Linked DNA regions of Caenorhabditis elegans. The protein of the gene in region 1 interacts with the protein of each later gene in a biochemical or structural test. Each region holds a gene or a part of one and is shown in the gene's direction. Other genes may lie near its edges.

Region 1 (4,252 bases):
GTACATATTGCTGCTTTTTGTGTAAATTTTGCAATAATGAAACTTTCTGTTTTATTTTGTAGATATATTCTAAAAGTCTCTAGTATACTCATTTCTGGTCAAAGAAAAAGATGGGAAGGGTCCCAGATGGTCACTAAAAAATTTGAAAAAGTTGTGATGTAGTGCGAATCCTTTTCGCAATGTTGCGGTTTTTTTTAAGTTGAAATTTCTTTCATCCCTATATGTTGATTTTGTTTGAAAACGTGCTTAAACAAAATGGAGGCTAAGAAAAGAAGCTTATTAAAAATTTTAAAAATTTTTTTGTAGCAACTACAATTTTTCTCAAACACCGGGAAGTTTAGTATTTTCTGTTAATTTTTTTCGGGATTGCCCTATTTTCTCATGTATTTTCATGACAATACCGCTAAATACCGCATTTGGATAACTTACTTAGATTTTTTTTTTTTTTTGATTTACCCATCCTGAAGGTTTTTTTGGCAATGAGGTAATTTTTCAAATTGACCTCTTTCTTAGTATTTTAGTACATATTATTGCTGAAAAACTGCGTTACTTTTTTTTGAAATGCTCATTTTTAGCATGCGCTTAATATTGTTGTTTTTTGAAAACTTCCAATATTTCTTTGCAGATCTCCCTTCTTTTTCCGTCGTCTGTTTCAAAATTCCCATATCACAATGCTTCTAGTTTTTATGAGTGTTTTGTGAGAGAAGAATGAGGATTTTCATATTTTTGGACTCCTGCTGTGTTTTCATGAAGAATTTTTTTGATCGAGTTTATAGAAAATAAAATGATTTTTTTTGCAAATTTGATTTTTTTTTAGCTTTTGGATTTTTTCTGAGCACATTGAAATTACAAAACGTATTCTTAATAAAAAATCTTTCGGCTACATTAATTTTTGTTAAATGTTGGAAAAAATTCAAAAATTTGAGTCTCCTGATCAATTTTTAAATTTAGCCGGCTATCTCTATACATGGAAAAATTCCAAAAAAAAAATCAAACAAATTCGTGAAAAAAGCTACTTCCTAGCAAAAATCATCAATTCCTATAGAATAGCCAACAAATCTAATGAATTAGAGATGACGACGGAAAGAAGGTGTTTATTAGTTATATGACCATGAAAAATTGGTTTTTTTTCCTGTCTTGACTCCCGGAATTATTATTGGGAAAACAGACCAAAACAGGACAAACTTCCTGAATTTAGATAAATTTAAAATTCCTCAACAAAATCTTTCAAAATTTGTTTGTGTTAGGATAGCAACAAAAATTGTACAAGTATAAACTTGAATACTATTCACTATTTTTCCACACCCCAACTGATCATCTAAAACTGCAATAGGAAAGTTTGGACTCTATTGAACTAAAATGATTAATTGAATTCACACGCTAGGACCCCTCATCTACTTAAATGTAACTTTGTTTTTTTTTTCTAGAAAAAAAGACGAAATCCACAAGAAAAACAAATAGAAAGAGTAAAGTTTGTTGAGGATGAGCTTTCGTGGTGATTGGAATTTTTTGTGGCACAAAATATTTTGTAAAGTTTGTTAGAAAACATGCAAGAATGAGTTCCAAGAAAATATGAGATTGAAATTTTTGTGTTGTGCGCAGTTAGATGAGAGAAAATACCCAAATGCCATATAATCTAAAATGTAAAAAAAACTACTTTTCATCTGAATTCAGAATTGAATTATATTTTCACCTGCTAATTTTTAACTATTAGCCAAACTGATTCCAAAATTCCTTTTTTTTTTCAAAAATTTACTTTTGTCTTCACTACTATCTGGTTAAATAATAGTTAATTTTTTCTAACGTATTCAAAAATTCTAGATGTCCCAATGCACAGTGGAATACAATGTGTCTGAAATCACTGAATATGTATTGTCTACTCTAGGTGAACGGTGCCAATCGGTAAGCTTCAACCTTTAAATGTTTTATATTTACTTTAGTTTTTACAGGCAGGAATAGTAATTCCAACAGTCATTATTTATGGAACTATTTTTCTACTTGGATTATTCGGAAATATTTGCACATGTATCGTAATTGCAGCAAACAAATCTATGCACAATCCAACAAATTACTATTTATTCAGTTTGGCGGTTTCAGATATTATTGCCTTGATATTAGGTGATTTTTCTCTGACTCAAAAGTTTCACGCAAAATGTTTTAGGGCTCCCCATGGAGTTCTACCAATCCCTTGATTACTCATATCCATATCGATTCAGTGAGGGAATTTGTAAAGCTCGGGCTTTTCTCATTGAGTTCACTTCATATGCATCAATAATGATTATTTGTTGTTTTTCATTTGAGCGGTGGCTGGCAATTTGGTAAGCATTTGGTAAAATTTCAAAAAAATTAAATTCAAATTTGGTAAAATTTGGTTCTTTTTTGTATTATTTTTGGAAGAGATTGGAGGATCTTAGGATATCGAATTTGCCGAGAAAAGTTGCTTGTGAAATATGATCAATGTAAACTAGTTTCAGCCATCCACTTCGTTCAAAAATATTCTCAACTCTCTGGAGAGCCAATGTTCTTATTATTCTTGCTTGGACTATTTCATTCGTTTGCGCTCTACCAATTGCATTCATAGTTCAAATCAACAAACTCCCCCTTCCAGAAGACGCAAAATATCAACCATGGACTAACAAGGTTAGTTTTTTTGCAGTCGGAGTCCTGAATAATCGAATTTTCCCGGTCTCAACGGATGGAATATTCGTACTTCACACCGAATTCTGTGCAATGAACCAAAGTCGTCCGGATCAACAAAAAATGATTATTATATTTGCATTCACTGTGTTTTTTGTTATTCCAGCGATTGCGATCGTTATTATGTACGCGCATATTGCCGTTCAACTAGAATCATCAGAAATTGACTTGAAAGGAGATAAAATGGTAAAGAAAAGAAGGAACAAAAGCAATAGGACAGTTCTGAAGATGTTGTGTAAGTTCTCAAAGGATATTGATTAGAGCTATAACTTTTACCTTAATTTTAGTATCGGTTGTCATCACATTTTTCATTTGCTGGCTTCCATTCCATATTCAGCGACTTTTATCTGTCTATACGACGTGGTCCGAAACCACGACAATATCACCTCCGGTGCAATTCCTATCTATGATTGTCTTCTACATCTCAGGATTTTGCTATTATTCAAACTCTGCTGCGAACCCAATTCTGTACAACATTCTGTCTCAAAAGTATCGAAGTGCATTTTGTCGGACCATTCTAGGGGACCATATTGCTAATTTTGTGTTTAAAGGTCATCAGAGACCAGGGCAGTCAAAGTAAGTTCGAAGCGTGTTTGACATAAAATACACCCAGCAACAAATTTCAGAAGATGCTCTTCCTCAACAGAAGCCGAACAAAGAACTCTCATGACACGTGGAAGTGTACGTGTAGATAAGCCCCATCGTAAATTGGAAGTACACAACTACTGACATAATGCTAACACACGATTTTATTTTTGCTTTTATTTGACTACATCCTCTATGAAACATATCTTTGAAACCGATTGTTTGATAAAACCGTTTTTGCCTCAAAAATTCAAAAACAAAGTCATTGTGAGTGAAAACTTTCATATTGAAGGTTATCCAAACCAGGGCACTTTGCGAAAAGCCAATTCTCATTCAATTTTTCTACAGCTACAAAAATGTTTATATTCATTATTGCATTGATTGCATTGAATGCTAATCAATATTGTCCCTTAAACTTTCCCTCTCTTAACCAAAACATCAAGTTATGCGAAATCTATTACGTAAAAACTTCTGAGATAGAAGTCATTGCGTTCCAATCATACCATAAAAACTATTGCGCAAAAAGACTAACTTGTCTTTTTTCGTTTCTCGCAAGTCTCATTTGGAACACCGAATAACTAAACTTGATATCTTTGTGACGTAATGATGTGGTCTTGCCTTGTTGCAAAAGCTATCAGATATCAGATAAAACAACTAGAATTTTAATGCTTATTAAATTTTATTAATTTTATTGCCCACATGTTTTTCTTTGATCATTTTCAAAATCCGAAGCTTCAATTTATTTTACTGACAGTCATACACTATTTCTCCTTCCGTTCATTATTTGCCGTGATGGTTTTGTGTCTATCAATATGTACATAACGTTTGGAGGAAGACACATACAAACACACTAATGAATATAAACGTAGAGAATGAGAGAGACGTACACCTTATCATTACTCGATCACCCTTTTTACCTTTTACATATGCATATGGTTATCAAATGTTGCTGTGAAAATACAAGTGATGT
Region 2 (3,106 bases), on another chromosome or scaffold:
CGGTCAAATTTGCCTTTCCACAAAAAAATTCATATTCAGATTCTGCAGGTATTCGTTAAAATTTAGGAAAAGCAACAAAATAGATCGGAGCCAGGCAGCATATGCTATTACCTGCAAACACTTCAGCAATAACTCGGATTCCTCTCGTAAATAAATTTCGAAAATATAAACTTTTCTTAAAATATTTGGCACATATTGTTGGCACAACCTTTTTAAAATCATTGGTGGACCTACAAAGTGATGTCCAAATATGAAAATAAAGACGAGAAACGAAACGAACTAATAATACCCGCGGCTTAATTTGAGGACAACAAACGACAGCTTCTCCATGTTTTTTGCAAAGTTGATCCTTGGAGGGCAATTTTGACAACACGTGCTGTAAAAATTTGCGGATACCAAGCCTACAGTTGATTTGTGATGTACCAATTATGAGCACGATAAATCGCGAGCCAAAACGACCACTGTTCACATTTCTGTATTTTGAGAGTTGCGATAGGCGCATTGTGCGCAATGTTGGTGGGCATGGCGGTACTTTCACAATGCTGTTGCTGCGAGGCTCTGACTCTCACGAATATTTAGTTTTGCTTTGTTTTTACGTTCGTTATATCCTTGGAATGTCATTCTCGTACCTGAAACCACCTGGAAACTGTTTTCGTTTACGCATTCTTAACCCGGAAATGTGTTTCTCGCCAAAACACAAGTTCAGCTGCAAAAATAAACTTTTTCGAGTGAATCAGGAATTTCAGAAGTTTATCAGAGACTTGTTTTTACAAAATCTACACATGTGACTGGAATTTTCAAACGTTTGAGGTAAATATTTTCAGTTTATGATGAATACGTAACTGAGATAAATTAAATAAATAATCTTTAAGTTCACAGTCTGAATAGTCTGCAAAACCGGACACTCAAACTCTAACAATTGTTTAATTTGCCTGTCAAGGCAATTCTAATCACTCAAAAAGTGCAAGAAGCGCACTTGTTCCCTAAAGAATGCTTCTAATCCCTTTGTACGAATTTGTACTGTCAACGAACTGTGTGGTGGAATGAGGAAGACGCAGCAAATAATCCATTGACAAACTGGGCGGGTCCGTCAAATCCGTGTGGCAAACAACTGACAGTCTAACTAACTGTTGCTGCTCATTTTCAATCAGTGCGAGCTGGCCTCCTTCCGTCGTCTACATTTCTTATTGATTATTCGGCATTCTGTTAGGAAGCATCAATGTGTTGTGACCGTTGTTACGGTCAATTTGCAAATTGAAAAAATGACCGTAATCCCGTTCACAATACATTGTTCGTTTTCTCCAAAGGTGATTCATTAAGTAAAAAGGGAATGTGGGTGTGCAAATGTGAATGTTCTGCTGGTTTACAACCGTGGTTTACAACCAGACAGCTAAAAACGCATGCCTGGATATTAGAGAGTGACGACTATATCCATATTTATTTTGACTATTCCGTCGGCTCGAATTCCTGGTAAGATTTTCTTGTTCACATTTGAATAGGACAAATAGTGATTTCACTCGTTTTTCTTCCTTTTCTGTCTTTTATTAATTTCCTTTTTTTTTGAAAATAGCCGGAATCGTTTTTTTTTGTCGGCCAAGAGGTGAGTAGGTGTAGTACAGCAGGGGTGATAAGCCAAAGCGTCACAAGACCGGTGGCTCCCAGAACGGAAATTAAAAAAGGTGGGACTTTGGGCGGCTTAAAGTGTCACTGGTCTGGACGAGTAGATATTCGACACCCCTCTTGCACATATTATTTGTTAGTCTGACTGAGTTTTCTCAGTCATTCAACATAAACTGTTCACATTTCTACAGGAACAATGCTTCTCTGGATCGTCGCCACTTTGCTCATTTTTAGCCTTCCAGTGTCAACGGCTTTAGATTATAATGGTAATTGATTTTTCATCAGTATCACTAAAACATTTTGAGAATCTAACCATGATTTAATAGTAGGTATATAGTATATCAAGTATGTACATGTAATACAATAATCCCTTATAAAAATCTACATCTTTCAGATTTCTCCTTGCAACGAATTGCTCGGGCTCCACATCCATCATCTGCTCTCTTAGTGCCATACCCAAGAGTCGGAAAACGAAGTAACATTTTGAAGTAGGTTCAAGCAAAATGAAAAATACATTTTATGTAAAAAAGTTTTAAAATTTTGTTTTTCAGTAACAATTCCGAATCACAAAACTCTGTCCAAAAGAGACTCTACATGGCGCGTGTTGGAAAACGAGCATTTTTCTACACTCCACGTATTGGGAAATAATGACGAGGATACTCCAGACGGACCGGCTATAACTGACACTTTTCATTTTGATCAATCCTTATTTCCCTCTTTCCCCTTGTTCTTCTGTCACGTTCCTTTCTTTTTTCATGAATGTATGTACACTATATTATCACAACAACACAAATCGACAAAATTTTTTTGACCTTTTCTATTAAATTTTTTTAATTTGAAAGTCTTATTGTGTTTTCTTTTCACTTCCATTTCCTAATATCTTGAACATTTTTCAAATGTGGCAGAATAAAGTGTGCGACGCGTTACCAAAATACACTTTGATTTTTGATCTCACTCGATTTCGAGGAGATCTGTTCCGTTTTTGACGTTTTTTTTTCTGACAACGACAATTAAAAATTGAGAACAAGAAAAACAACATCTCGTGTTTGTTGAATTGATACATTGGGTTTATAACGAAGCACAGATGTATTTTCTGGCGGTATTGCTTTTAGTATGGGAAGATGTTAACGTTCGTGTTTTTTGTCGGTGGATTTTAATCGCTATTTCTCAATTCCAGCTGAAAAATTTTCAACTTTTTTTGTATGTAATGTCAATAACACGTTTTTCTTGTTAGAAAAATAATTATTTTGCAGCTGCCAACTTTGATCACCTATAGTAATTTCCCTATCATTCATAATTACGCTTCCGTTGGTCAAACTTTGCTCGAAAATTATAGATTTAAAGTTTTCAGTAATCAAGTGTTCATAAAATCATGTACGTTCATGCTATTTTGAGACTATTCGAATTTTTTGGAAGTTTTTTTTTTTTTCGAGCCAATGATGTGATTGAAAAGAATTTGTTATTTGTTTGATTCCCCAATGCTTTC

The links.
Region 2: of the proteins of nmur-2 (region 1) and capa-1, one has a biochemical effect on the other in vitro, tested with the Caenorhabditis elegans proteins (2 studies listed by BioGRID, with this or other methods).

The regions. Positions count from the first base shown.
Region 1 is NC_003280.10:122,572-126,823, reverse strand, and holds nmur-2 (Neuromedin U receptor homolog nmur-2), read left to right. Parts: upstream 1-1,819; 5' UTR 1,820-1,821; coding exon 1,822-1,902; intron 1,903-1,949; coding exon 1,950-2,118; intron 2,119-2,161; coding exon 2,162-2,318; intron 2,319-2,474; coding exon 2,475-2,640; intron 2,641-2,685; coding exon 2,686-2,932; intron 2,933-2,984; coding exon 2,985-3,273; intron 3,274-3,323; coding exon 3,324-3,426; 3' UTR 3,427-3,554; downstream 3,555-4,252. UniProt on the Caenorhabditis elegans protein: Putative G protein-coupled receptor for pyrokinin-like neuropeptide derived from the processing of the neuropeptide precursor capa-1.
Region 2 is NC_003284.9:5,917,950-5,921,055, forward strand, and holds capa-1 (LYMARV-amide), read left to right. Parts: upstream 1-1,810; 5' UTR 1,811-1,816; coding exon 1,817-1,886; intron 1,887-2,014; coding exon 2,015-2,108; intron 2,109-2,171; coding exon 2,172-2,268; 3' UTR 2,269-2,545; downstream 2,546-3,106. UniProt on the Caenorhabditis elegans protein: Encodes at least three neuropeptides: two of the periviscerokinin family (APHPSSALLVPYPRV-amide and LYMARV-amide) and one pyrokinin (AFFYTPRI-amide).